Linked DNA regions of Drosophila melanogaster. The protein of the gene in region 1 interacts with the protein of each later gene in a pairwise test. Each region holds a gene or a part of one and is shown on either strand. Other genes may lie near its edges.

Evidence for each region.
Region 2: the proteins of CG16711 (region 1) and CG4619 interact in a two-hybrid assay, tested with the Drosophila melanogaster proteins (one large-scale study listed by BioGRID).

Annotation. Positions count from the first base shown.
Region 1 is NT_037436.4:9,700,495-9,714,036, reverse strand, and holds CG16711 (uncharacterized protein), read right to left. Parts: upstream 9,707-13,542; 5' UTR 9,267-9,706; coding exon 5,569-9,266; intron 5,500-5,568; coding exon 5,436-5,499; coding exon of another isoform or gene 4,704-5,435; 3' UTR 3,708-4,703; downstream 1-3,707. Other genes in the region: SH3PX1 (SH3 and PX domain containing 1), read left to right, coding at 352-1,104, 1,885-2,537, 3,018-3,309; CG6761 (uncharacterized protein), read left to right, coding at 10,442-11,355, 11,407-12,346, 12,407-12,644, 12,698-12,923, 12,985-13,336.
Region 2 is NT_033779.5:9,934,281-9,946,269, reverse strand, and holds CG4619 (uncharacterized protein), read right to left. Parts: upstream 7,408-11,989; 5' UTR 7,307-7,407; coding exon 5,702-7,306; intron 5,642-5,701; coding exon 5,534-5,641; 3' UTR 5,354-5,533; coding exon of another isoform or gene 5,212-5,353; 3' UTR 5,152-5,211; coding exon of another isoform or gene 4,790-5,151; 3' UTR 4,732-4,789; coding exon of another isoform or gene 4,631-4,731; 3' UTR 4,571-4,630; coding exon of another isoform or gene 4,160-4,570; 3' UTR 4,102-4,159; coding exon of another isoform or gene 3,863-4,101; 3' UTR 3,796-3,862; coding exon of another isoform or gene 3,650-3,795; 3' UTR 3,590-3,649; coding exon of another isoform or gene 3,453-3,589; 3' UTR 3,388-3,452; coding exon of another isoform or gene 3,217-3,387; 3' UTR 3,212-3,216; downstream 1-3,211. Other genes in the region: CG5853 (uncharacterized protein), read left to right, coding at 1,615-1,975, 3,217-3,387, 3,453-3,589, 3,650-3,795, 3,863-4,101, 4,160-4,570, 4,631-4,731, 4,790-5,151 and 1 more; Arglu1 (arginine and glutamate rich 1), read left to right, coding at 8,265-8,612, 8,760-9,032, 10,701-10,784, 10,847-11,014.

The DNA.
Region 1 (13,542 bases):
TGATCGACTTAAATGTACCATTTATATTATTTTATTTTAGTGAGTATATAGTAGTAGTACAGTATAAATATGAAGTTTTTATAATTATTTATCAAATTAGAGAGTGCCTCTGTTCCAAGTGTAGAATTCAGGTGTGTTGGGGGAATACCCCTAATAAAATTGCTGTATCATCATTATATCTTGTTGCTGCAGAGCGAAGAAGACGTCAGTGTCAGTTTAATTCCGTAATCCAAGAAACGGTAACACTTCACACTTGGTGATTCAGAATTAGTAGATATTTCTTGTCTGTTTATGGCCCCTGTGAAGACAGGACTCGAATTAGCGTAAAGGAACGACCAGGAGAGCACCAAGATGACCTCGTACGTGCGTGCCATGTACGACTTTACCGGGGAGCCGGGCTCCTCGGAGCTCTCCATCGCGACTGGCGACGTGCTCTCGGTGACCCGGAGCGATGTGGGTGAAGGCTGGTGGGAGGGCAAGAATGCCCGTGGCCAGATTGGCCTCTTCCCGGCTGCGTACGTGGAGGTGATGTCGGCGGCCGAAGCCCAGAAGCTGAGCGCCAGTGGAGCGACGTCGGTGCCACAGGTTCCGGATCCCTTCGCCTCGCCCCCTTTGCCGCGTTACGATCAGACGGCGGATGATGATGGCAGCAACTGGGATGATGAGGACGATTGGAGCGACGACAATGACACGTACTCGGAAATTGGTCCAGGTGGCCAGAAGTCTGCGGGACAGTCGGCTCGCGCTGGCGGATTGTCGCATTCCACCAGTGACTACGATAACAAACACCTGCCCATCGCGCCCAACGATGATACCCAATCACTGGCCTCCGTGGCTGGTGGGACTGGTGCTGCTGGCACCGTCAAAAAGGGCATGTTCGCCAAAAGTTCCGATTCATATATACTCGGCTTGTCCAGCACCAAGGAGAAGATACCCGAATGCGAGATGGCCTACATTACACAGGTGGAGGACTCGATCTACCAGTGGACGCAGAACCATTCGCCCTACTCCGTTGTGGTGGCCAGTCCCAAAAAGGAGTCCAAATTCAAGGGGATGAAGACGTTCATTGCCTACCAACTGACGCCTAGCTTCAACAACATATCCGTAAGTTGGCCAACCCTGATATCGCCGTGATTAACAACACAATACGATAAAGCTCCGACCGTTGGCGCATGAGTGTGTAACTACGGGTGCAATATTTTGTTGATAATATGTGTCTGTGCTGTGTTCGCTACCCTCTGCCAAGGGTAATTTGGGCTGGTTCATGTGCTCACGAGCAGATGGAATGGAATAAAGAAAGACCAATCCTTTGTTTATCGAAACTCCGCACTAATTGCCGGCCAACATTTTCCAACTGAGTTGACCTTAAAAGTGACCCTTTTTTGCTGAGAAAATTTAAATGGAGATCATATCCATTTCTTTAATTGGTTTGTTTTATTAAGACTCTGAAAATTGGCTAAATTTATCTTTTTATTTGTTAAAGTTTTAATACTATTCAAAGCTATAGTTCATTTCTTATTAGCTACTTAAATAGTATTTTGATAATTTCGATCAACTTTATTCATTACAATAATGAGAAGCATAAATGCTCGACATTACTTTCGAACTGAAATCAAAGCTCTTTGTAAAGTTCTTTCAGTCCATTAAAATACACATACAAATAGGTAGAGCATTACAGAGTCGTAAAAGCACTTAAAATTCTTCTTTGTGGGGGCAATTCTGACCAACTGGTAGCCAGCGGCACTGCGATGATTGCTTGTGCTTGCGAACCGCCACGGGGAATGACTCAGCAACGAGCTCTGACCCCCCGAGCTCCGGGCTCCTCTTTGCGTGACCCAATCACAATTAATTGGTCATATCTAATCTGGGTTTCCCTTTCGTTAGGTGTCACGTCGCTACAAGCACTTCGACTGGCTGCACGAACGTTTGGTGGACAAGTTTTGCCTGATTCCGGTGCCACCGCTGCCGGACAAGCAGATCTCCGGCCGCTATGAGGAGCAATTCGTGGAGCATCGACGTGTGCAGCTGCAGGAGTTCGTCGACTGGGTGTGCCGCCATCCGGTGATCTCCAAATGCGAGGTCTGGTACCATTTCCTCACTTGCCGCGACGAGAAGATCTGGAAGTCGGGCAAACGCAAGGCGGAACGGGATCCCTACATGGGCGTCAACTACTGCCTGGCCATCTCGCCGCCGGACAAGAACCTGCTGCACTCTAAGGTGGACGCACAGGTGGAGCTGGGCACCCAGTTCATACACAGCATGGACGTGGCAGTACGCAACCTGAACAATATATCCAACGACATGGCCAAGCGCTCCATGTCGCAGAGTAAAAAGGAGTTCCAGCGCATTGGCGACGGACTCTCCGACCTGGCCAAGGCATTGGCCATCGATGAGCGGCGTGCGCCCACCCGAAACGCGGTTCCGCTCTCCGAGAGCGTCGGCCGCATCGGTGGCATCTTTATCGGTATTGGACAGGCCTTTGGCGACCAGCCAAAGCATGATTGGATTCCCCTCTCGGATCGACTTCACATCTACAGGTGGGTTGACGTCTCTATAAGTGATGGGAAGCATAGCACATTTCGTTTCATTCATCAGTAATTGATTAGCTGACTGAAAATGGGAATTCCACGACATGTGTCATTTCTATACTAGAAGTTACAATAGGCACATACATATATGGCTGAATTACTCACAATTAAAAATTTTCGATAGATTACTTTCTTGTAAATTGTTTTTAAGGTATCAAGTTTATTTATAAAGAACTCAAATTGTTTACTTTTAAGCAATGAATCAATGTATAGTTTCGCGAGAAAAATCGATTGTTGGCCAATAGTTTATTTTAGATTATTGTGGTTCTTACGCTGACTGACCTTTAGTTTAACAAGAAATATATACATAGATATACATATGTATAATATATATATAACTTCTAGAGAATGTGGTAACTTTCCGTCGCTATTTGTTTATAGAACGATCTAGAAGCATTATCTAATTCTTACTTTCACTTTTCCAAATAGGGGCGTTCTCAACTGCTTTCCGGACATCTTCTCCACGCACAAGGGTGCCATACAGAAGCGAAAGGACTGCGAGAAATTGGCCGGCGAGGGCAGGATGAATAATCCCCAGTTGCACGACGTTAACCGGCGCACAGATGTCGTCTCCTACACGGTGCTGGCCGAGCTGACCCACTTCAAGAGCGAGCGGGATACGCATTTGAAGCATACGCTTAAGAATTTCATTGCCGAACAGATTAAGTTTTACCAGGGCGTGGTGGCGCGCCTGCAGGAGGCCAGCCGTCAGATTGAGTAGATTGGCCCTTGGCCCATGGCGACGACGACTCATCGCTGAAGAGATCGACGGCTGGGAGCACAAAGAAACCGCACCGGGCACACACTTCCACACAGAGATACATAGCTGAAAACATTCGCACGCGCGCATTTCAAATGCCTTCGAAAGGAACTCTTACTTTAAGCGTGGTTCTAACTAAATGTTAAACAGAAAAAATATTACATAATGTTGTTTGTAAGTGAAAAGTTGCGTATTTATACAGAAATTAACTTTTATATGCCTATTATACACTGAACTTGAGATGCAAATATAACTATATTTATACAGAACCACTTGTGCAAGTGCATCATCTGCATCATAATCATCATATTTGGATGATCCAACCAAACCCGCTGAATTAAAAGTCTCGGTGGCGATTTGCTATTCTGTTGCCTTTATCAGCGAAATTCTCTAAAAGGGTTCTCTTTATTTTTCCATTTTCATGTTCATGCTTTTGCTTTGCCATTTTCGCGTTAATAAGTTTTGTGATTCTTGTGTTTGTTTGGTTTTTTTGTTTTTTTTTTTTGTATCTAGAACATAAGTGTTAGATTGCACATGTTAGGGATGATGATTTCATAAATAATCAGCGTAATAACTAGTAAAAACAAAAAGAAACACATTTCGGAATGGATACAAAATCGGTTGTTTGCCTTTTAGCGCTGCGCTTTGTTTTCGTTTGATTTTTGGCGAGGTCATAGGTGAAGGTGAAGGGTCCAAGGATTGTCCTGGCATTTTTGGAGGATAGTCGGATGTGGGTTTCCAGGGATGGGAATCGGGTTGTGGGGGGATCACTAAGTGTAATACATCTAGATAAAAACGCTATATACAGACACACGAGTTAATAATAATAATAATAATATAACGCAGCTTGAGATAATAATAATAATAATAGATTTTGGTTAACAATAATACAATAATTAGGTTTTTTTTTGCTTTTGCCTTCCGCTTTCGCGCTCTACATTATTTTTTGTTTACTTGTCGTGTTTTTTTTTTGTTTTTTCCTCTTTGTTTTCTTTTCATATTTTTTGTGTTTTTCTTTTTTGTTAACAAACTACCAATAACAAATTTTTACTAATTCAATTTAAGTTTTTTTTTATGTTTACTGCTCTCTGCTTGTGTTTACCACCTTGTTTGTTGTTTATAAATTATTGTTGTTTGCGTTCCGGTTACCTTGTTGTTGCTGTTCCTGTGTATTAAACTAAAGGAAAATCATGGTTTATCCTTTACCAATTCCTGGCGGTAAAACGGCCTATACGATGCCTCTAAATATATAGTTATTATTACACGCAAGTGTTACATATGCCTATATGTTTATGTTTATGCGCTAAAGTGTCTTGCGCTTCGGTTAGCTGAACCGTGAACCCACCGGACGACTCCTAGCCGTAGTCACCGCCGAAGCGTCCGTGCTTATTGCTACCGTTACTGCTCTGGACCGCTGCAGCCGCCGCCGCCGCTTGGGCAGCCTTCTCCGCCAGCAGCGCCGCCTTCTGTTGCATGTAGGGATTGAAGTGTTGCATGTACATGGAGGCAGCGGCTGCCGCCGCATAGTTGTTGGCATAATTGTTGCTCCTTTGGTTGCTGCTGCCGTTGTTGGCGCTCCATTGATGCTGCTGCTGCTGCTGCTGGAGCTGCTTCTGTTGCTGTTGCTGCTGTTGGTGTTGCTGTTGTTGGTGTTGCTGCTGCTGCTGATGTTGCTGCTGTTGATGTTGCTGCTGCTGTTGTTGTTGATGCTGCTGCTGCTGCTGCTGTTGGTGGTGATGTTGCTGGTGCTGTTGCCAGTAGCTCTGCTCCGCCATATAATTGCCGGCATCGCTATCCTTTTGATAAAGATATGAATTCAGCAGGGATTCGCGTGCGGCGGCAGCGGCCGCCATCTGATTGTTCTGGAACATATTCTCCATGGCCGCTGCCGTTGGATAACAAAATTTATTGCTACTATTGTTGCTGTGGTTTTGATTGTTGGCTGCTGGAAGTTGTGGTTGCTGTTGCTGCTGTTGCTTGGCCGAGGCGTGATAGTTGCTGTAGTCCTGCTGCTGATGCTGCTCCTCATAGCTGGCCGTCCTTGTTCCCGATCCAGGTGCTGGCTCCTTTTGAGCCCGGCTTGACTGTCATTCACCTGATGCCGTCACCGTGGTCCACTGCCATGGACTATTGTAGCCTTGTTTGGGATTGCTGAAAGGGAACGGATGTGGATTAATTTGAACAGATGGGAAAGATGATTAGGTTAGGAACATCACTCACCTTCCGAAGAGAGGATGCCACAGTGCCGAGTTGGCATCCATGCCGGCTGCTGCCGCCGCATCTGCAAGATTTTGCTGGTGCTGTTGCTGCTGCACGTCCTGGGCGAGCATATTGCCCCGCTTGCGCTGCTGCTGTGCGGCGGCGGCTGGGTGCATTTGCTGCTTGGCCTGCTCGAGGGGATTATAGGTGACGCAGGCTTTACTGGAGCGTAGTGTGCGTCCCGTACCTGCGTCACCCTTGGCCTGATCTGGAACGGCCTTGTGCATGGAGGGACGCCCTCGCATTCCGTCAAAGGGCACATTGAGAAGTGGAACCACGTTAGCCTCCGGTTCCAGCAGATTCGAGAGGGATTTAATGGTCAGTCTGGGTTTGTGCTCCGCAGGAGCTGGTGCCGGAGGCGCAGCGGTGGCCACCGGCACAGGCGCAGCGGCGGCTGGTGGTGGAGCAGCTGTTGTAGTTGGAGCACCGGATGAAGGCTTGGATTTGGTGAAATTGCTAATGGACTCCGTTTCTGTATCCCTTCTGGGTCGCTTGTGCTCCTGATGATGATGATGATTTGAGGTGGCAGCTGCCGATGATGTGGATGATGCCTCCTTGGCCGCCTCCCAGTTGAGGAACTGTGGCAATTGCGGCTGCAGCAGCTTTTGCATGAGAGCCAGCTCTACGGGATTGGTGAAGCCATTAAAGGAATTTGGTCCGCTGGCTGTACTTTGAGGAAGAGGTGGAGGCGGAGCTGCTGCAGGAGGCGGCACGGGAGTGGTAACCTTGGGCTGTGGCTGCTCTTCCGTCGACTTTTGTTTCATACAATGCTTGTACAGCTCGTCCAGATGCTGCAATCCAAATTGGTTGTTGTACAGCGGCAGGAGATTGCTCATAAACTTTCTTTGTAGTCCCAGCGGATCTTTGATCGTTTTGAAGAACTCCTGCGACAACTGGCCAAAATATGGTAGCCACAGCATCTGTTGGAGTAGCGCCAGTGTGGTTGCATTCAGATCCGTGGAGAGACTGGAATCTGCCGGAGATGGTGGTGTTGGTGCCACTGGGGCAACTGCAGGCGGTTTGGGTTGAACAGGCACAGGTTTGGGTTGTATCTGCTTGGGACTGGGACTTCTCGCTTTGCTTGGCACCACGATCACTGGATCCGGGTCTTTTGTCACCTTGGCCGCATGCTCCGATTCCGTTTTGAGGATGGCCTCCAACTGCTCCATGGTCACTACCAGAATGTTCGGATTCTGGATGATCTCCGGATAGGCAAAGGCCTCGGGAAGACGCAACTCCGGCCTGGTTGTCAGCAGCAATGGAATCTCTCGGGCCGGTGAGGCTAAAACTGCTCCGAGGCGATCCTTTGGCACGAGTATGGGGTCTGGGACCTTCCACTGCGGATTGCTGATCAGCATTTTCAGTTGGGTAAGTGGATCCGGATCCTTGTCCATCTTAATGCTGGCCTTGGGTCGCTTCTTCAGCGGCTGGCTGGAATCCTCCTCCTCCTCGTCGTCGATAACGACCGTTTCGAGTTTGCCATCGCGGCCAGCTTTGCCCAGATCCATGGGCTCTGCCTGTTGGGGATTGTTGTTAAGCTTGAGGAACTGCTCCAGGATGAGATTTTTAATGGTTTCCGACGTCGTCTCCACCTCAGCAGGTATGGAGTTGGCCGGCAGCTGGAGTTCCCGCTCCGGTGACTTGAGTATATCCGAACTTGAGGTCACCGCACATTGACTACGCGATTCTGATGGTGGGCAGACCTCCTCGCGTTTCTTGTAGCTCAAATCCTTGGGCGTCTCCTCGACTACGACGGATTTTTCCATTTCCTTTTCAGGCGTTGGTGTCGGCGTAGGCGTTTGGGTCATTTCCACAGTGGCTGGAGTGGGCGGTTGTGGTTCCGGCTCGGTGGCCACAGCTTCATGCTGCTTCTCGAACGCCTCGATGCCCAGGAAGAGCTCTCCGTTCAGGCCCTCGATCTCACCCGCCTCATTGAAGGACAGACACTTGGGCGCATCGTCGTTGTCCATGTTGAGTATGCGGGGCAGGTCCTTGTCGAGATCGGGTACACAAAACGAGCTCAGTCCGTCGCCGGAGGCTGAGGAGTTCGGCGGATTGGTTCCGTTGCCAGGGCGCGTCTCCTGGACGAGATTGTCCTCGCAACTTCGCTTGACCAGCGAGTCGAGCAAATCCGCTCCACTGCTGCCGTTTTCACTGCTACAATTCTGTAGCAGATCATCGGCATCGTCCAGCAGATCCTTCAGATTCTTAGTATTCGCATCGAAACACTCCACGGCATCGTTTCCACCCAGTGGCTTGTCCTCCGCCTCCTCGGGCAGGACATCCTCCTCAGGCAGCTGAACCAGGGCAAGATCTCCTTTCGGCAGAAACAGACCCGTCTTGGGACACAGCTGCATTTGCAGCGGCGAGGGTGTGGAGCTCTGATATGTGGGCGTATTGGTCTTGGTGGCCTTGGTGGAGGCATTCGTCTCCTCGCTGTCAAGCAGCCCATCGAAGCAGGGCGTGGGCGCCATCTCCGGCTCTTTGGCAGGTGGCATCACCACAACATCTTCGAGTACAGTGGCTAAGTGGCCGTTCTGCTGCTGCGCAGCATCACTTTCCTGTCCCTCTTCCTCCTCCTCCTGCTCTTCGATCTCGTCCGGCAATTGCGTGGCACTATCATCCCAATCCTGCAACAAAGTTTGCCCGATGGAGGGCATCTGCTGCTCCGACTGCTCCTGCTCTCGCTCATGATCCTCCGCCTGTTGCAACTCCTGCTCCTGGTGCTGTTGCTCCTCCTCCTCCAAACGCTGCAGATGCTGCTCGCGCTTGACCTTCATCAGTGGGGCGGCGGAGCCATGGAAGAATTTGACTATCCTAGTTGAGGAAGCATCTGTGCGCGGCATAGATCGCCAGCCATTGGTCGTCTTGGTCAGACGAATCCTATTCCGCTTGTCGTAGTCCTCGCAGCGCACCTCCACGATGCGGGTATCGTCCTGTTTGACCCACAGGAAGATCGGATTGACGCTGGGCGTCGTGGGCGAAGTGGCGGGTGCGGCAGCGGGCTTGGGTATTGGTAGAGAAGCAGGAGTGACCGCTGACACCACCTCCTTTTCCTTCTCCTGAACAGATGGAGCCTTGGGCTTGGGACTAATTCGCTTGGGTGCCGCCACATTGGATGCAGTGGCTGTGGATGTGACGTGCGTTTTGGTTTCCAATTTTACGGCCGCCGTTCGCGGCAAGGATTTGGCTAACGTCGGCTCCTCCGGCAACGGAGGATTGAGCGCGGCTATTTGCGGAGGAATTGGGGGATTCAGTGCGGGAATGGGTGTGATAGCTGGGGCAGCAGCCGGCACAACGGCTTCCGAGCTGCACTTTGGTTCCGTTTTAATGTCGCGCAGCACATTCTTATTGATGCGCGGCGTATTGGCCACCTTCAGGTGTCCGAACTTTTGCTTTGCCCTTGTGGCCTTGCCCCGTGCTCCCTTCCCTCGTCGCCGGGTGGTCTGCTCCTCGAAGACCAGGAATATATCACGGGCCACTCTCCGGCGCTCCGATTTTCGGTGGCAAACCGGCGGAGCGGCCTCCAGTTCCTGCTTGATGATGCCCTCGTTATTGTTGTTGTTGTTGCTGTGATTATTGTTGTTATTCGCACTCGCCTCCGGCTCATCCTGGCTAGCAGCAGCGCATTCACTTGGCCTGCAAGTGTTCCGGGGCATTTTACGGCCGTATCCGCTAGTGGTCCGTGATCCGTACTCTCAGATCCCTGGTCATTTTCCCATCATCGCTGGCTAGTCCACACTCGTCGCTCGTTTTTTTTTCTTTTTTGGCCTTTTGCTACTGCCCCCCGTATCCGGATTTTTCGCTCTCGCCTCCCCCGCCCCCTGCCCAGTTCTGATTGGGAGCAGCGTTCTGATTGGACAGCGGCCCAGGTAAAAGCCTTCGCTTTGGGGCTTCTATCTTCAGTCCGTTCGCATTGCCGCCGCACTTGTGCCGCTCCAGCGTTTCTAATTCAGTTGACCGTGCTATTTAACCGCATTCAGAATTAACTGCCCTGCTACACTGTGTGTTTTACGTTGACAAAATCAATGAATTTTTGTATGTATATGTTTTGGTTTGCTTTCGATATTTCGATATAGTTTTCTAAACAATCGCCAGCGCTTAATGACGGTAATCGTATGAGCGTAATCGAAAATTGGGGCTGCAGTCGGAAATTTCCCCAAATACCGATAGTAATAACGGTCATATTTTTAAAATTTTTCGAAATACGCAGTTTTGTAAATTTTAATTTAAATTTAAAGAATGCTGAATATGTTAATATGACTTAAATTTAAAATTACTAAAATGTAGTTTAAACGAATATATAGAAGAACAATTAAAAAAAAACTTAAAAAAGAAATATGTGTTTTTTAATTACAAAAACAAATATCTTATTACTTTCCCGCCCGACTTGCCAATCTGGGCTGTACAACACTGATATTTGTTTAACGGTAAATTGTTAAGCTTGTAGTCGTAGAAGAAAATTCAAACAACAAAAAATAACCAAGTTTGTTAATTTTTTAAAAAGTAAAAAAAAATTTAAGTTACAAGACCTTAAATTGATTTTATAATATATATAGTTTGTTGTTTTATTCTTTATTATATCCCAAATTCCACTTATAATGTTGCATTTCTTTAAAATGAAATATGTCTCGAATAAGTAATATTTAGGAAAAATAATCAATTTATTAAATGTGCAGGTAATCTTAAATTCCTGGACAGCTTGAAAAATCAATTGGGGTCACCAGTTGCATTGTTTTTTCCGCTTTTCATTTTAGTAACTTCCTTGTTACTACGAGCAACGAAACAATCAATCAATAATGGCCAATATCCTTTGATTTTTGCATTGGCCAGGATGCAGAAATCCGGCTCCGACGAGGGAGCCTCGGCTGCTGGACAGCCGGAGGAGACACCAGCGGCTCCCTCCCAGAAATCCATTGATTCCGGCAATGGCGCCGAGTTTCAAATCACTTTGAACGAGTTTCTAGAGTTTCTAAAACTATCCTGTCATGTGAACGATATGATTACGAAAGCCGACATGGGAAAACCACACAATAGGGAGCCGATACCGCCGATGGAGGGCAGTGCGGTGTCAACCAAGAGAGCTACCAAGAAGGACGAGTTCGACTTTGCCGAACTGGCGGACAATCCACTGGTCAACGAGCTCCTGGGACTGCGACGACCCTCGAGGAGCTCCAACGAGAGTCGCTCTAGTTTGCTACAGGATGCGAAATCCAGTACATTGCGCTCGGGGCACAGCCACCACGGCCGCTCTTCCCGTCCAGAGTCGACCTATCGGGGATTGCATCCCAAGCTTGGCGAGCAACTGGATGCGGCCATTAATGAGGGAGTTCTGGACTCTGTTCTGTCCTTTATATGCCCGGTCCCAATGCCCACACAACTCCAGAATGGCAAAACTAAGCCCAAGCAGCTGCAGCCTCCGAAAGAGCTTCTCACCCAGACATCGGCCACTACCACTCCCTATACGAATCCCATTCCAGCGGCAGCTCCTCTCACCTCGGGAGCATCGAAATCCATGATGGAGATAGGCCACTCACATGGGCCTCTGCCGGCAGCCACTCCCTCGGCTCCTTGCCTGCAGCAGGCTCATCCCGGAGGAGATGCTCTACATTCGGATCAGATCACCAACAGCATGGTGCGGGCTATGATTAAGGAGCCGATTCCGAAGCCTGGTGCAATGAACGCCGGCAGACGCAAATCTCTGCTGCTGGTCAAGGATAGCAAACATGCCAGGCAGGAGCGAAAGGAGTAAGTACCATGTATTTACAGGATATATATGTAACTCAAATTGTTTAACAGGCCGGAAGTGGTGATCCACGTCTGCGACGAGGTGAAGAACACCTCGAAGGACTTCACCTGCCCGCAGCATTTGCTGGTGACCAAAATGGGTTACTTTGCGGACGTGACTGCCGGTCAGAGATTGGAGGAGATGGACATATCGGTGCACTGCGACATCCTTATCTTCGATTGGCTGATGAAGTGGATCAAGCACAGTGCCCAAAGCCAGGATCTTCCGGTTCCCACTCAGAGCACCGGTCCCCAGTTGGATGGCAACAATGTGGTGCCCATTCTGGTGTCGGCCAGCTTTCTGCAGATGGAACCTCTACTCCTTGAGTGTTTGGCCTTTTGTCATGCCCATCTCAGCGAAGTTGTACGAACATCCACGAATCTGTCCTGTCTGAATGATGCATTGGTCAGCCGACTGGCGGCCATGTTCACGAATCTCGAGCTGGAAATGGTCAGGGATAAAAAGGAGCGAGTGACACCACGTCTGTGGACCAAATTGATTCAGTCCCTCTGCGAACCGGATCCGGAAGCGCTAAGGGGACACTTCTACAGCATGTCCGGTCTGTTCCGTTGCTCCAGGTGCTTCAATTGCGTGACCAACACTATGAAATCCTATGTGAGCTGTGTGCCCAGCAACATTCGACTGAATCGCTGGGGCCAATTGATGAGCCACCACGTGCGGGACACGAACTGGGATCTTAATGTCTACATCGTTCAGCTCTTCAAGGAGCTCAAGTCTTGGCGCAAGGTGTACTGGAAGTTATGGGGTCACTGCCATTACCTGTACTGCTGCTCGTGCGAGGCTCATTTTCCGGTCTATCAGATGCACTGGTGTCGCTTCCATCCGGAGGCACCCAACTTCCTCGGTCCCGTGGGCAATGCTGGACCCGCCGGCCGCTTCTCCTGCTGCGGTCAGCAGGCATTCCGCTACGAAACGCTGCCGGGACCAAATGTATGTATATATATTTCCAGAAACTAATACTACTGCATTGAATATTCGTTACTTTTTTAGGGCTGCCAATTTCGCGAGCACAGTGTCCTGGTGGAGACGGATAGGGAGCGTGCCATCCTGGCCATTGCTCAGTTGGTGGGCGAGAACTACGCCTTGTGCGAGCAGCCACCATTGAGGATTCAGGAATTGGCCGCCGCCGGCGAGATCAGTCCCAGTTGGCAGGGTATCTCCCTAACGCCACAAAGATGTCGCCAGGGACTTTTGCCCCAACTCTGCATGGACAGTGTGCTCAAGAGAGGTGGGTATGTGTGCTTGAAGGTAATGTGCTCCGTACTCAACCCTGCTCCATAGTGACCAACCATCGTGTGAGCCGTCGGATGCGAGGATCTCGCTATCAAATGGACACCAGCACCGATTCGGAGACGACGTCCACCAGCGAGGATGATGCTCGATGCCTGCGGCCACGCATGCGTAACGTTCACGATGACGACGAGGACTACAGTACGAGTAGCGATGGCTGCGAGTCGGAGCATCGTCCTCCACCAAGGAAAACTAGAGGCAAAAAATCACGAAAGCGGTAAGGATTTTGAAATATTGAATGTATATGAAATAATAATTACCTGGAACTGTTTGGCCAGTCCCACCGATGTGTCGGGTCGTTTTTGGTCCGGCGAGTTGTCAGCGCGCAGCAACCAGGATCATCAGCGCGACTTCGAGGAGAAGATCATGAAACAGGTCGCCAATTATGTGACCAAAAAGACCGGAACGGATCAGTGTCTGGTGCAGAATGCCCAACCGCTTGGTGGCTCCTACGTGCGACTCGAGTCCGAATGGAAGGAGATGCTCAAGCAACGTCACAGCCATCACACGATCCAGGGAACCAATGCCACTGGCACATCCGTGGCTCAAAGCAACAGCAGCTGCCTGGGATCCGCACTTGCAACTGGTGGCTCCTCCGTGTCCGTCATGTCCAAGCAAAAGCACAAGTAGAAATTCGTATTATATGTGTGAAGTCATTAACTTATTGGATTCGCCAGCAAGCATCGTAGACCAAATATTTAGTGACAGATTATTAGTCAAATATTTAGTGCAAACCATAAATATTCACATTGAAATGTAGAAAAATTAAATGAATATGTAGAAGAATATATATATAAATGATTATATCTGGATGATATCGATGGGTTCTATTTTAC
Region 2 (11,989 bases), on another chromosome or scaffold:
ATCCGGTGAACCGGTTTGCAAGGTATACAAGCTATACAAAACAATGTTTCAACGCAGCATCAGCACACAAATGATATACATGGTATACATATGTACGTATGTGTGATGTGTGCACATAAGTGCTGTGGTGTTAAAGGCCGATCTAAGTCTCCGAAAGTCGCAGGCAAACACGAAATGTAAAGCCGGGCTCGAACAAAGGAGTCCAAGAAAATAGCAAGCCCGGCAAAACGTGACCACGGTGGGATCTACTCCGGCATCAGTCAATAATGATGTACAGCCAGCCGATTAAGAGCCATCAATGTCACTCCCTTCGTGACATCCAGGTCATCATCGGGAAATATGGGGCATTGACCATAGGTAACTGTGTTATAACTTAATTAGGTGCATGGCTGCGGAGCAGTTCCCACTGGCGAAGCCCCTACCTTTCCCAACTACTCGAAAACGGAAAGGGAAATCTCCCGGTCGAGGAATTTGCCCAGCTCCTGATAAGACTGCTCGGGCTATATTATTTAGACATTCGTCACAGGTATAAGATTGATTATAATATGAACTTTCAGAAGCGCAGATTCGCAACCTATAAGATACAATCTATACATTGGTGTAACTACAGCCATGCCATATCTGGATCTACTTTCCAAGCAAAAGGATTGCATCCACACAGTTAATTATGAATAATTGATTTAAACAATTTTCATTTCAATCCCACTTTGATAAGCTGTAGCCCATCAATATGTAGCTGCAGCTACATTTATTGCATTTATTACATTTGTTGTTAACTCGCCGCTTGGAACAATGCTTTTGTTTTGATCAGCTCGGATCGGATCGGATCAGATGGGATGGGATCGGATCTAGAGAATCGAGTGGATCGCTTGGATGGACGGATCAATGGCAGATGTGCATATACGACGGCACTCTCACCATCGCCATTCCATCATTCCATTTCCACTCAATTGTGCCGCTTTATTGTTTGCCTCCGCCTCCGTCTGAGCAATTGTACCTTGATCTTTTCGCAAATCTGTGCATTAAATGTACTCGCATTTAATTGTCTTTTGCAGCAGTGCGAAATGTGGAGTAAACTGCGTGCTACATTTCGCTTATGTAAACTGGCACTTAATGCGAACGGTGGATGATAATTGCATGGTTTCGACATCCATCCAATTCGACACCATGTCTTTGGTTAATCGGAAGCATCATCTACGCTGGATTAGTTGCTATCCCCATCGATCCTCCTCCCTTTACATGCCCTTTAAAATTAACAATCTCACCGTGCAATCGTGAATAATCCATGTGAATATGACGGGGTTAGACGACAAAGGTTGATCGATCTCCCCCAGCTTTCGATCAAAGTGCACATTCAGCTGGCGTGGAACCCGTTTCAATAAGCTAAGCTAAATATTTTGTATCGGCTAGCAACTGGTTGCCAACTGATTCCCACTTTTAGCCACGCACCTTGCACAATCCATCAAATCTGCAGACAAAGATCCAACTGGCTAATCATCAAGAGAAGAGTTTCATATAGAGTTAAGCTTTTAGGATGTAATAGAAAACTTTCAGTGAATCCGAAATATATATTTTTATTATATTACAGTTGACAGGCTATCCTAGAATCCCAGAATGGCGACACCGCGCGAGCAGTTCTTGTTCGGCAGCGACAACGGAGTGGCCGGCCTCGGTCTGGGCATCGAGATCGGGGAGGTGACCTCCAGTCGCGTCTATAACAGCACCACAGTGCCAGTTGGCAACAGTGGCGGATGGCGGAATGCCCAGTCCAGTGTTACGCCACCACCCATACCCACACCGCCACAGGTGAACTATACCAATGGGAATGAGCCCAGCAAGCAGCCGCCACTGGAACCTGTCGTGGAGGAGGAGGTGCACTTCGACACCGATGCCCTCAATAATCTGCCAGCTCGCGAGCCTGTGGACATGGAGTTCAAGGAGCTGTCCCTCACCGTCAAATTGGGCTTCAATCGAGGTGAGCTACAAGAAGCGAGTTGTCGCTAACTAACCATTGCGATCGCATGATCTAAGATATGGCTCGATAAGATTGGGGCAGCGGAGAACTTAAAATTAGCTGGGCATTTATATATGTTTTACGATCAGCGGCTACTCTTTGAACGGGAATGACCTTCAATTCTTTATATCCTACCAATATAGTCTCATAAATAATATCTAAATTATGACTAGACAAAACTACTGTTATAATAGAAGATAAAACATATGCTAGAAAGTCTTTTCATTAATAGTATTCTAAGGGATACAGATATACTCAGATAAAGCAAATCCTTCAGATACTATATTTCAAATGTTTCTTAAGTACGAGTGCCATAAGATAATTACATCCGAACAAAGTTTACTACAAGGTTATTCTTTTCGGCAGTGCCTCCACATACCAATCACTTGCCAAACACTTGCTTGCTAGTTCTTTAACCAACTTGGTTTTCCATTGATTAGATAAGAGCCGATCACTCCGCTTATTCCGATCACACCCCCTTCCCGGTTGTATATATTCAATGCCAGTTAGTCATTCATAAATTCCCTTTCCGTCGAGTCCATAAAATGATAAGAAATAACTTGCCAATACGATAGTTAGTAGAGCATTTGTAATTCGATATGATGGGTTTGGCTTTAGAACATTTTGCTAATTTCAAAGTTCAAAAGATATCGACATTGTTTAGCCCCTGGTAACTTGATTAGAACTGCACAAATTTTCAACCCGTGGCGGTAATTAATTAATCAACCTTTCGGTAGGTGGATATATGGCCATTGCTATCGGAATGTTAAATTGGTGACTAGAAGTGCTAAAATGTGTAATATTGCTAACATAACAATACGATTACTGTGAAAGATTGAGTTAATTAAGCTAAACCCTTTTTCCCTATATTTGCAACTCTTTTCTATGGCTTGATACGTATATCACCTAGAATTGTTTACTGATTTGAATTGTTTTCGAGTTGTGTAGTTAACAGGTTATTCACTGAAGTGGATTAATGTAGATTTACTCGAGATCTTACCTCAATAGCCGTTTAATTCAGCCAAGTTATAGCCTGCAGATGATTCATGAATATCGTCGCTCGTACGCGTACTCATGGGTTCTCCATTGGTTCCCTGAACCTTGATACCGACGACCGTATAAAAAAAAAACACACTGAATGTCTATTAAGTTTTTATGATCATATTTTACGATGGCATTTAAGTAATTTCGCAATTTCTTAGGATCCAAGGAAATCTTGCACAATGTGTGCGGAAAGTTCCCAGGCAGCCAGCTGATTGCCATCATGGGACCTTCGGGTGCAGGAAAGTCCACTTTGCTAGATGCCCTTTCAGGTTTCAAGACGACCGGAGTGGATGGCTCCATCTTGCTCAATGGTCGGCGACGTGATTTGCGTTAGTATATGACCTCACTTAATTTATTCAATATATCCAGAATTCATGGTAATCCCTCCCTGCAGCTTCCTTCCGTCGGATGTCCTGCTACATCACCCAGGATGATCGTCTGCAGCCGCTGCTGACGGTAAACGAGAATATGCATATAGCCGCCGATCTTAAACTGGGTCAGACAGTCAGCTACGAGGAGAAGGAGAGCAGGGTGAGTGGGGTGATCTTCACTTAAAGATCATAGTCATAAATCGCGGATTTACCCTTGCAGATCGAGGACATTCTGCTGCTCCTTGGTCTGTACAATCACGATCAGACCCTTACAATGCGCCTGTCCGGTGGTCAGAAGAAGAGGCTATCCATTGCCATGGAGTTGATCAATAATCCCACTGTGATGTTCCTGGACGAGCCCACAACGTATGAGCCAATATATCCATTTTTAACAAACTGAGGAATGTTTACATCTTGCTTTTCTTTCTTTCAGTGGCTTGGACAGTAGCTCGTGCACAAAGGTCCTGGAGCTGCTCAAGAAGTTGACCAGCCAAGGACGCACCATTATTTGCACCATCCATCAGCCGACGGCCAAGTTGTTCCAGATCTTCGATCAGGTCTACGTCCTGTCCGCTGGCAACTGCGTCTACCAGGGCAGCACCCAGAAATTGGTGCCGTTCCTGCAGTCGGTGGATCTGCCCTGTCCGATGTACCACAATCCAGCGGATTACAGTGAGTCCAGCACAGATCTCTGAGTGAATTTACACTAATACAATCCTTATTGCTCCAGTTATCGAGCTCGCTTGCGGAGAGTATGGATACGACAAGGTCGACACCCTTAAGCTCGCCACTGAGAACGGAAGCTGCCTGACTTGGTTCCATAATCCCAGTGCGGTGTTGCGCGCTGAGGTCTTGATGAGAAAGTATCCCATACCAAAGAAAACCAAAAGCCGATCCCTGGAGGACACCAGCTACTCAAACCAGTGCTCTGTGCTTTTGCGACGAGGTTTCATCAAAGCCAAACGAGACACGACCATGACGCACTTGAGGATCGGAGTCAACATAGCAGTGGCCGCTCTGTTCGGAGCTATGTACGATCACACGGGACGTGAAGGATCACGAGTGCTCGACAACTACAATCTTCTGTTTGCCATACTGATGCACCATTCCATGACCACGATGATGTTGACTGTTCTGACTTGTAAGCTCACTTGAGTCGATTGCGTAGACATATTAACTTATTTGAATATCATTTGACCAGTCCCCATGGACATCTCCATATTGATCAAGGAGCACTTCAATCGCTGGTACTCACTCAAAGCCTACTACACTGCCATGACACTCGTGGACCTGCCCATATCTGTGCGTAGCGATCTTTAATATCCCATTTTCAATTTTTAACTGACCCTTTTGGTTACAGATCATAAGTTGTTTCTTCTTCACTGTCATCGTTTACCTTTGGAGTTATCAGCCGATGGAGTGGATCAGATTCTTTATGTTCTTCTCCATTAGTTTACTGACCGTCTTTGTGGGACATAGTTTTGGTTTGATGATTGGTGCCTGGTTCGATGTGGTGAATGGAACGTTCTTGGCCCCAGTGCTAACGATTCCCATGATGATGTTCGCCGGCTTTGGAGTGACCCTGCGTGATCTGCCAAGCTACTTAAGGTGGGGCAGTCACATATCATACTTAAGATATGGACTTGAGGGCTTCATATCAGCCATTTATGGCTTGGATCGAGGTACCTTGGCCTGCGAGGAGGCGCCGTACTGCCATTACAGGTAATTAGATTCTGCTAACTTTTCTTTTTCTCAAGCGCTAACTCTGCTTTGTGTTTATAGGTATCCAAAGAAATTCTTAGAGGAAATCACCATGAGGGGTGATCAGTTCTGGAACGATGTGATCGCGCTGGGAGTCATGATCCTGGTTTTCCGATTTGTGTCCTACGTGGTGCTGAAGGCCAAGATCAAGTCGATCCGATAGGACAGCTGGGGGAGACACACCTGTAGCCCATTCCTTGTATTATACATTAATTGTTGACCATTATGTTTAGTGCTATTAATATTTAAATAATATGTACAAGTACATAAAACACTGTTAAATAAAGCTACGATTTGTAACTAGCCTAGAAGGCCGATATGGCCCCATATTATATCACACAATTCAGTTGCCCACGCCTTGGGCAACCTTGGATTCTTCTCCTGCATTTGCTGCCGGTTCTAGGAGCTGGCGGAGTTCCTTTGCATTGGTGGCCATTTCTGTTGAGTTTAGCTGAAACAAAACGATGTGTTAAACTGTGTTTATATAGTTTCAACTCTCTATAATGCTTACTACTACAACTTTTCGGCCAAGGGATTCCAAAAGTCTTTTCTTAAGACGTATTAATGAAGTCGGTTTCTTGCTGAATTTCAGAGTCTGTTCTGCGGTTAGCAGTTCAACAAAGTACACACTCTCCTGGGCACCCATTGTCTGCACTCGTAAGCTTGGCAAATTTATTCCGACAATGGGACACACCACATCCACGCCCTCCACATCCGCGTCGCCACTCAGCTCCTGGGCGTATTTCGTCAAGTCTGGGCGATCTTTTAGCAAATAAGCTGGTGCTCCATCAAACTCTTTAAAAGCTCGTTCTGTTTTAACTTTAGCAATTGAAGGCTGCTCAATGGCCACAGCAGATCGCAGCACAATTAAACGACTATCCACCTTGGGTTGGGCTCGCTGGCGTTTTTGGGCAGCTTTTAGTTCTTCAGCTGCATTAATCAGATCCTTAGAGTAGTGACCCAAAGTGCACAGAGAGAGGCAGGTGTCAACAAGGTTGTCAGGGAAATATTCGTACTCCCCATGATCCAGCTTGCGCAGGGCGGTCAGTTCCAATTGTCTGATTTCCTCAGGAGTCAATGCACAATTGAGTTGAGCGCTGGCCCACAGGAATGTGGCCAAGTCTTTGGAGCGCAGGTCTCCAGGCTTGAGAAGAGTCATGAGTCGTTTTACGACGACAGTTAGGCATTCATTCTGATCCCAAAGCTGCTCGGCAAAGAATGCAAAGATATGGGCAAGTCCTCGGGGTTCAATATGGGTTATCTTTACAGGATCCAGACAGATATCTTGCAGGTGCTGGCACACTCGTTCATCTTTGACTTGCTGCAGACGCAATGCCTTGACAAAGGAGACCAGCAAGGCATCGCTTCCGGTGTTTATCTCCAGATTTAATATGGCATTAACGAGTCTTGCTTCGTATGCCGTTTTCGCCTCACCGGTTACCAAAGTTGAGGTTTTGTACGCCGCATTGCTGACCACGGCAAGGTCCATTTCATTTAGTTCAGGCAAATGCGTTTGTAGATGCTCTTCCAGGAGTTGCTGGAATTCCTCAGAAGATTTGGCCTGCTTCTTTTGCAATCCCATATAGAAGCACACCTGAACGAATCGCTCCTTGTTGCCGCGAAAATCCTCCCTGACCAGTCGTTGCATGGCTGCTTGGTAAAAATCCAATCGCTTTATCCAACTTGGTATGAGGAATAGAAAGGAGTAGAGCGTCTCGAGCACTGTGGCGGTATCCATCTTGTCCAGCTGTTTAGCCGCATGGTTATCCAACGTGTTAAGCGCAGTCACATACATGGGTACAGCGGCATTGGAGCGATAGCTGGATGCCTGGATGATCAGGGCGGGCAATTGGGCTGCATCCGTTTTCTCTACCGTCCGCTGAAAGTACCGGTCGTCCGTGATGGGAAAGAAGTCAGAGTACCGGACCGTCGTCTTGGGCAACACGTGATCCGAATCCCTGTAGCGCTCCAGTGCAATGTGCTTGGCGAAGCGGGTCAGCAGTGTGCCGGTCTCATCGCTGCTCCGCAATACATCTCTGGGCGTAAGGGAGGCGTAGGTTCTGATGGGACATCCCAAGTTGGTGACGCCGGCAAAGCGGCGAAGCAGGGCGTACATATCGGATGCACTTCTTCTCAATTTATGTAATGAATTTACAAAACAACGTGCAAGTCCGCAAGCATACGTTAAATCTGCATTCGCTTTTCAACACTGACTAATTTCCTCTCACACGAAGTGAACTACTAATAAGCAAAAGAGGGAAACAGCTAGAAAAGCACCACTGTTATTGGAGACTTTCGAGCACTGTTCAAACACCTGTTTCGGTTAATTGATAGCAACAACATGGAAAAGGCAGCTGGTTTTGTTATTTTTCGCCGCCTTTGTGGGGAAATACAATACCTATTGCTGAAGGCTTCCTACGGCTCCTTCCACTGGAGTTCTCCCAAGGGACATGTGGACCCAGGCGAGGATGATTTTACCACTGCCCTGCGAGAAACGAAAGAGGAAGCCGGGAAAGTGCACAACGATATATCTTTTAAAACATGCTTAATTTCAAAAATGCTCTCATAGGTACGACGAGAAGGATCTGATCATATACAAGGACACTCCGCTGACCCTGAATTATCAGGTGCAAGACAAGCCGAAGATTGTTATTTACTGGCTAGCGGAGCTGCGGAATCCCTGCCAGGAGCCCATTCTCTCCGAGGAGCACACCGACCTCAAGTGGCTGCCCAAGGAGGAGGCCAAGCAGTGCGTCGGCTTTAAGGATAACCAAGTCATGATCGACAAGTTCCACCAAATGATTTTAGATCAAAACAAACCAATGTGAACTGAAAACAATTGCCGGTCTAATGTTGGGCAACACAGAAATTAAAATAAAAAAAGCACAGAAAATACCGTATCAAAAAAAATACCAGAATTATGTCAGGCCAGTATGCCAACGTTGTGCACACTGTTTTAAGGCATCTGTGAAAATTGCTCGAGAAATTAAATTCGCTCTCATTGATTTGTTGTGGCAGCCAAGTTAAGCCCTTCGACTAGCTCGAAATCTTATACAATCACACAATCCAGCACCATGGGCTCCCGTTCACGTACACCCAGTCCGTCGGGCAAGCGACGCCACCATAAGAGCAAGCACAAAAAACGCAGTAAGTCCCACCACGACCACGAGCGGCCCAGCACAAGAACGGATAGAGACAAGTCCTCGGAGGTGAACAACCATGGACGACATCGCGAACGGGACAGGGACCGCGAGCGGGATAGACACCGCAGCGACCGACACACTGAGCGCGACTACCGTCACTCCCCCTCGATCCTGAAATCCCGAAAACGCTCCAGCTCGTCGAGCAGCGACAGTCAGTACTCCGAGCAGGAGTCGCAACGTAGCAAACAGAAGCGCAGCCGCTTTAAGAAGCTGGATGAGGTAAGTGGATAGTGTCCATAGTCTGTCATCTTGAGCACTCCATGGGTACGCATTCCATACACGCATTTTTCCGGGATGGACACTCATGCTGCGCTTATGATACAACTGTTTCGATGAAAGCAACTAAACTATGATCTACCATTACAGCAAAACCAGATGCAGGTCGAACGCCTGGCCGAGATGGAGCGGCAGCGTCGGGCGAAGGAGCTCGAGCAAAAGACAATCGAAGAGGAAGCCGCCAAGCGCATAGAGATGCTGGTAAAAAAGCGCGTCGAGGAGGAGCTAGAAAAGCGTCGCGACGAAATCGAACAGGAGGTCAATCGACGCGTTGAGACCGCCAAGGCTGAGATGGAGCGCGAAATGATGCTGGAGCTGGAGCGGCGGCGAGAGCAGATACGCGAAGAAGAACGCCGGCGCGAGGTAGGTGCTCGTATTCAGATTCCGCTGGACGACTGCTGCTATCACTGTCAGAAACACGTACACAATGCCACATTTACCGTACACTTGAATAAATCCAAAACAGCAGTTCAAACAGTCGTCTCCACCACGTCACGCGAAATCGATCCGGCGGCGCTCTCAGTCGCGGCTCACTGGCTGTTCATCCATCAACCCATGTCCCATCAGCAGCCTCCCCGTACTAGATTGCTTGCATAACCCTGGGCCAAGGGCGCCCACTAACCGGGTACATCACTAACCAGTCGCAACTTTTCAGAGCCCTCCCCACATGATGCAGCAAGCTAAATGCTGTGAGCCGAGATGAGAACGCCACGGCTCGTTTTGCCCCTTTTTTTCTTCTTGCCAATAATTTTGTAACTTTTTATTTTTCCTACCAAAAAAGCCAAAATGACGACATTGCCAAGTGTCGCATGTGTCAAAGTTTTGATGCCCATTATTGCAGACTTATTGCATACTCTTAGCTTCATCTTTTGTTCGTTCCTACCCACATACTGTATCATTTTAATTTTTTTGGTATTGGTTCTCGTAACTCGTTGTTGTTGTTATTGCGCGCAAATTCCGCTTCAGTAGGCCCGTGCAACGAACGTGCTGCTCTTGTCCCGTATGCAAGTGGGTGTGTGTGGCTGTTTTGTGATCCTTACCCGCAAAACACTCGCGTGCACTCCACGTTGTGCCGCCATGCCGGAAGTTGAGCAAGCCTGCTGCCGAGCGATTGGTCCACGGACGCATTTCCTCCACACCAAACAATAAATATCAAAAGAATCAAAGAAATACCAAAGCCCAGCGAAGTGGTATGGTGTCCCTAAGTTAGTCCGGGTAGTTAGGCACTCTAGTTGTGGGCGGGCCGACTGAGTTTAGTCCCAACAGTACGCTGCATGCAAATCAAATCACTGCCACTTTTGATAACGGGTGAGTTTCCTACGCCAGCGATGTGTGATGTTGCCCAGCAGCCGTAAGGATAACAGGCGAGAAAGGACGGCGCACAGACCCAAAGACTCAAAGACTCCCCCCAGGGTTTAGCTCTATAGAACTCTGTCTGTAAGAATTTTTGAAACCGGATACGCATTGGATTGCCACTTATTTGTGTTTAAGCTTTTTGTTTTTGCGAGCAAATTACATATGTACGTCTGGAATAGCGAAAAACTCCACAAAAATAATCCCAAATCGAAAATCTGCAAAAAAAAAAAAAAAGAAAACCATAAATTAACACAAATTTAGCCTATTTACTGGAATAATGACCTATTTAAATAGTAAGTAGCAACAATAAAAAAAAAAAAAAACCAAATGAAGACCAACCATTTAGCAAATACTAGTACATTTGTTTATGTTGTGTGCTCCTTTATTGTAATAAACTAAAAGAACAACCTACTTTAAACATTCTTATTAGACACTACTAAATGTTTTACTTTCTACCGAAAATATTCTTTGTAACTTATTGTTAAACATAAAACTAGATTTTAACTGCCTTTGCAGCTCATCAAGCAAAAAACTGCAACCACAAACGTGCGTCGAATTCGTCGCACAGTTTGCATCGCTGATGTCAAGAGACTGTTTATTTCTATAATTAGCATTAAGCTTCTCGCTAAAGGATCGATTTTTGTTATTAATCGTCTTCTTGTTTGGGTTTTATAGGAGGATGAAAAACAAAAACGCGAAGAGCTCGAAGAAATTTTGGCCGAAAACAATCGCAAAATCGAAGAGGCGCAAAGAAAACTGGTAAGAATTCATAGCAAACAAACCATATTATTATGATCATAATTGATTTCTTTTTTCTTTAGGCCGAAGAACGGTTAGCAATAATCGAGGAGCAGCGCCTTATGGACGAGGAGCGGCAACGCATGCGCAAGGAGCAGGAGAAGCGCGTCAAGGAAGAGCAGAAGGTCATATTAGGCAAAAACAATTCCAGGCCCAAGCTATCGTTCTCCCTGAAACCGGGCGCATTATGAGGAGCGTAGGCATCAGTCTGGTGACCGTCGCACCTTTTCTTGTTAACAGCTTTTGCTTTTTTTTTTACCTCAGTGGCTATTTGCCTGCGACACAGACCATGCACTCGTTTTCATTGTTGTAATTGTGTTCTATATTATTTTTATTATTTTAAGGACGAGCTGTGGTGCTGAGAGCAGGCAAAGCACAGCCAATAGATTCAACGTTTTCAAAATTGCCAATTACTGAACACATACGGCTCTATATAGTACAATACGCTAGCGATTTACTTAACCTTTTCTACATAAAGAATTCATATGTGAGACAAATGATTATGTGTAGTGCGTCGTATTGTTGTCACAGCTGAACGATTAACAAAAAAGAAGAAAAAAAAAAAAAGAAAACCAAAAAGATGTCAGTGAAATACATATGTAATCTATTTGCAATTTTTTGATATTTCAAGAAAACATAGAAATCAGCTGAAATCGATAATAAAAAACTTTAGAAATGCCAAAAGTTGAATATTATTATATATAATCTGTATAAGCTTAAGTGTTTCAGATTTGCAATGCAAGAGCTACAAGTGCATTAGCGAGCGAATTAAGCACCATTCGCTTAGTAAATTTGACAGTTTTGCCAAAACATACGTGCGCTTTTCAGCTCCTCCATCCTCCACCGAATCCCCCGATCCCCTTTGGTATCGGACACGATCTAAGCCAGTGTACATGTCGCTAAGTAGACACAACTTATTATTTATAGAGACTACTTCAATTTATATGTCTCTTGTTGCTGATTGGGTTGGGCGACGCTGGACAGCGGGCGACAGCCGGCACGCCCGCGCGTAGCATGGAACTGGAGGCTGCGATCAGGTGGAGAGGCGGCGGTGTCCGATCTGTCCAAGTGCGTGCGTGCGCAGGAGGCGGGGATGCCGAATTGGTAGGCGACTTCACTCAGAGTCGTAATGTGGTTCTAAGCGAATGTGGCGCAAGATATGCCTG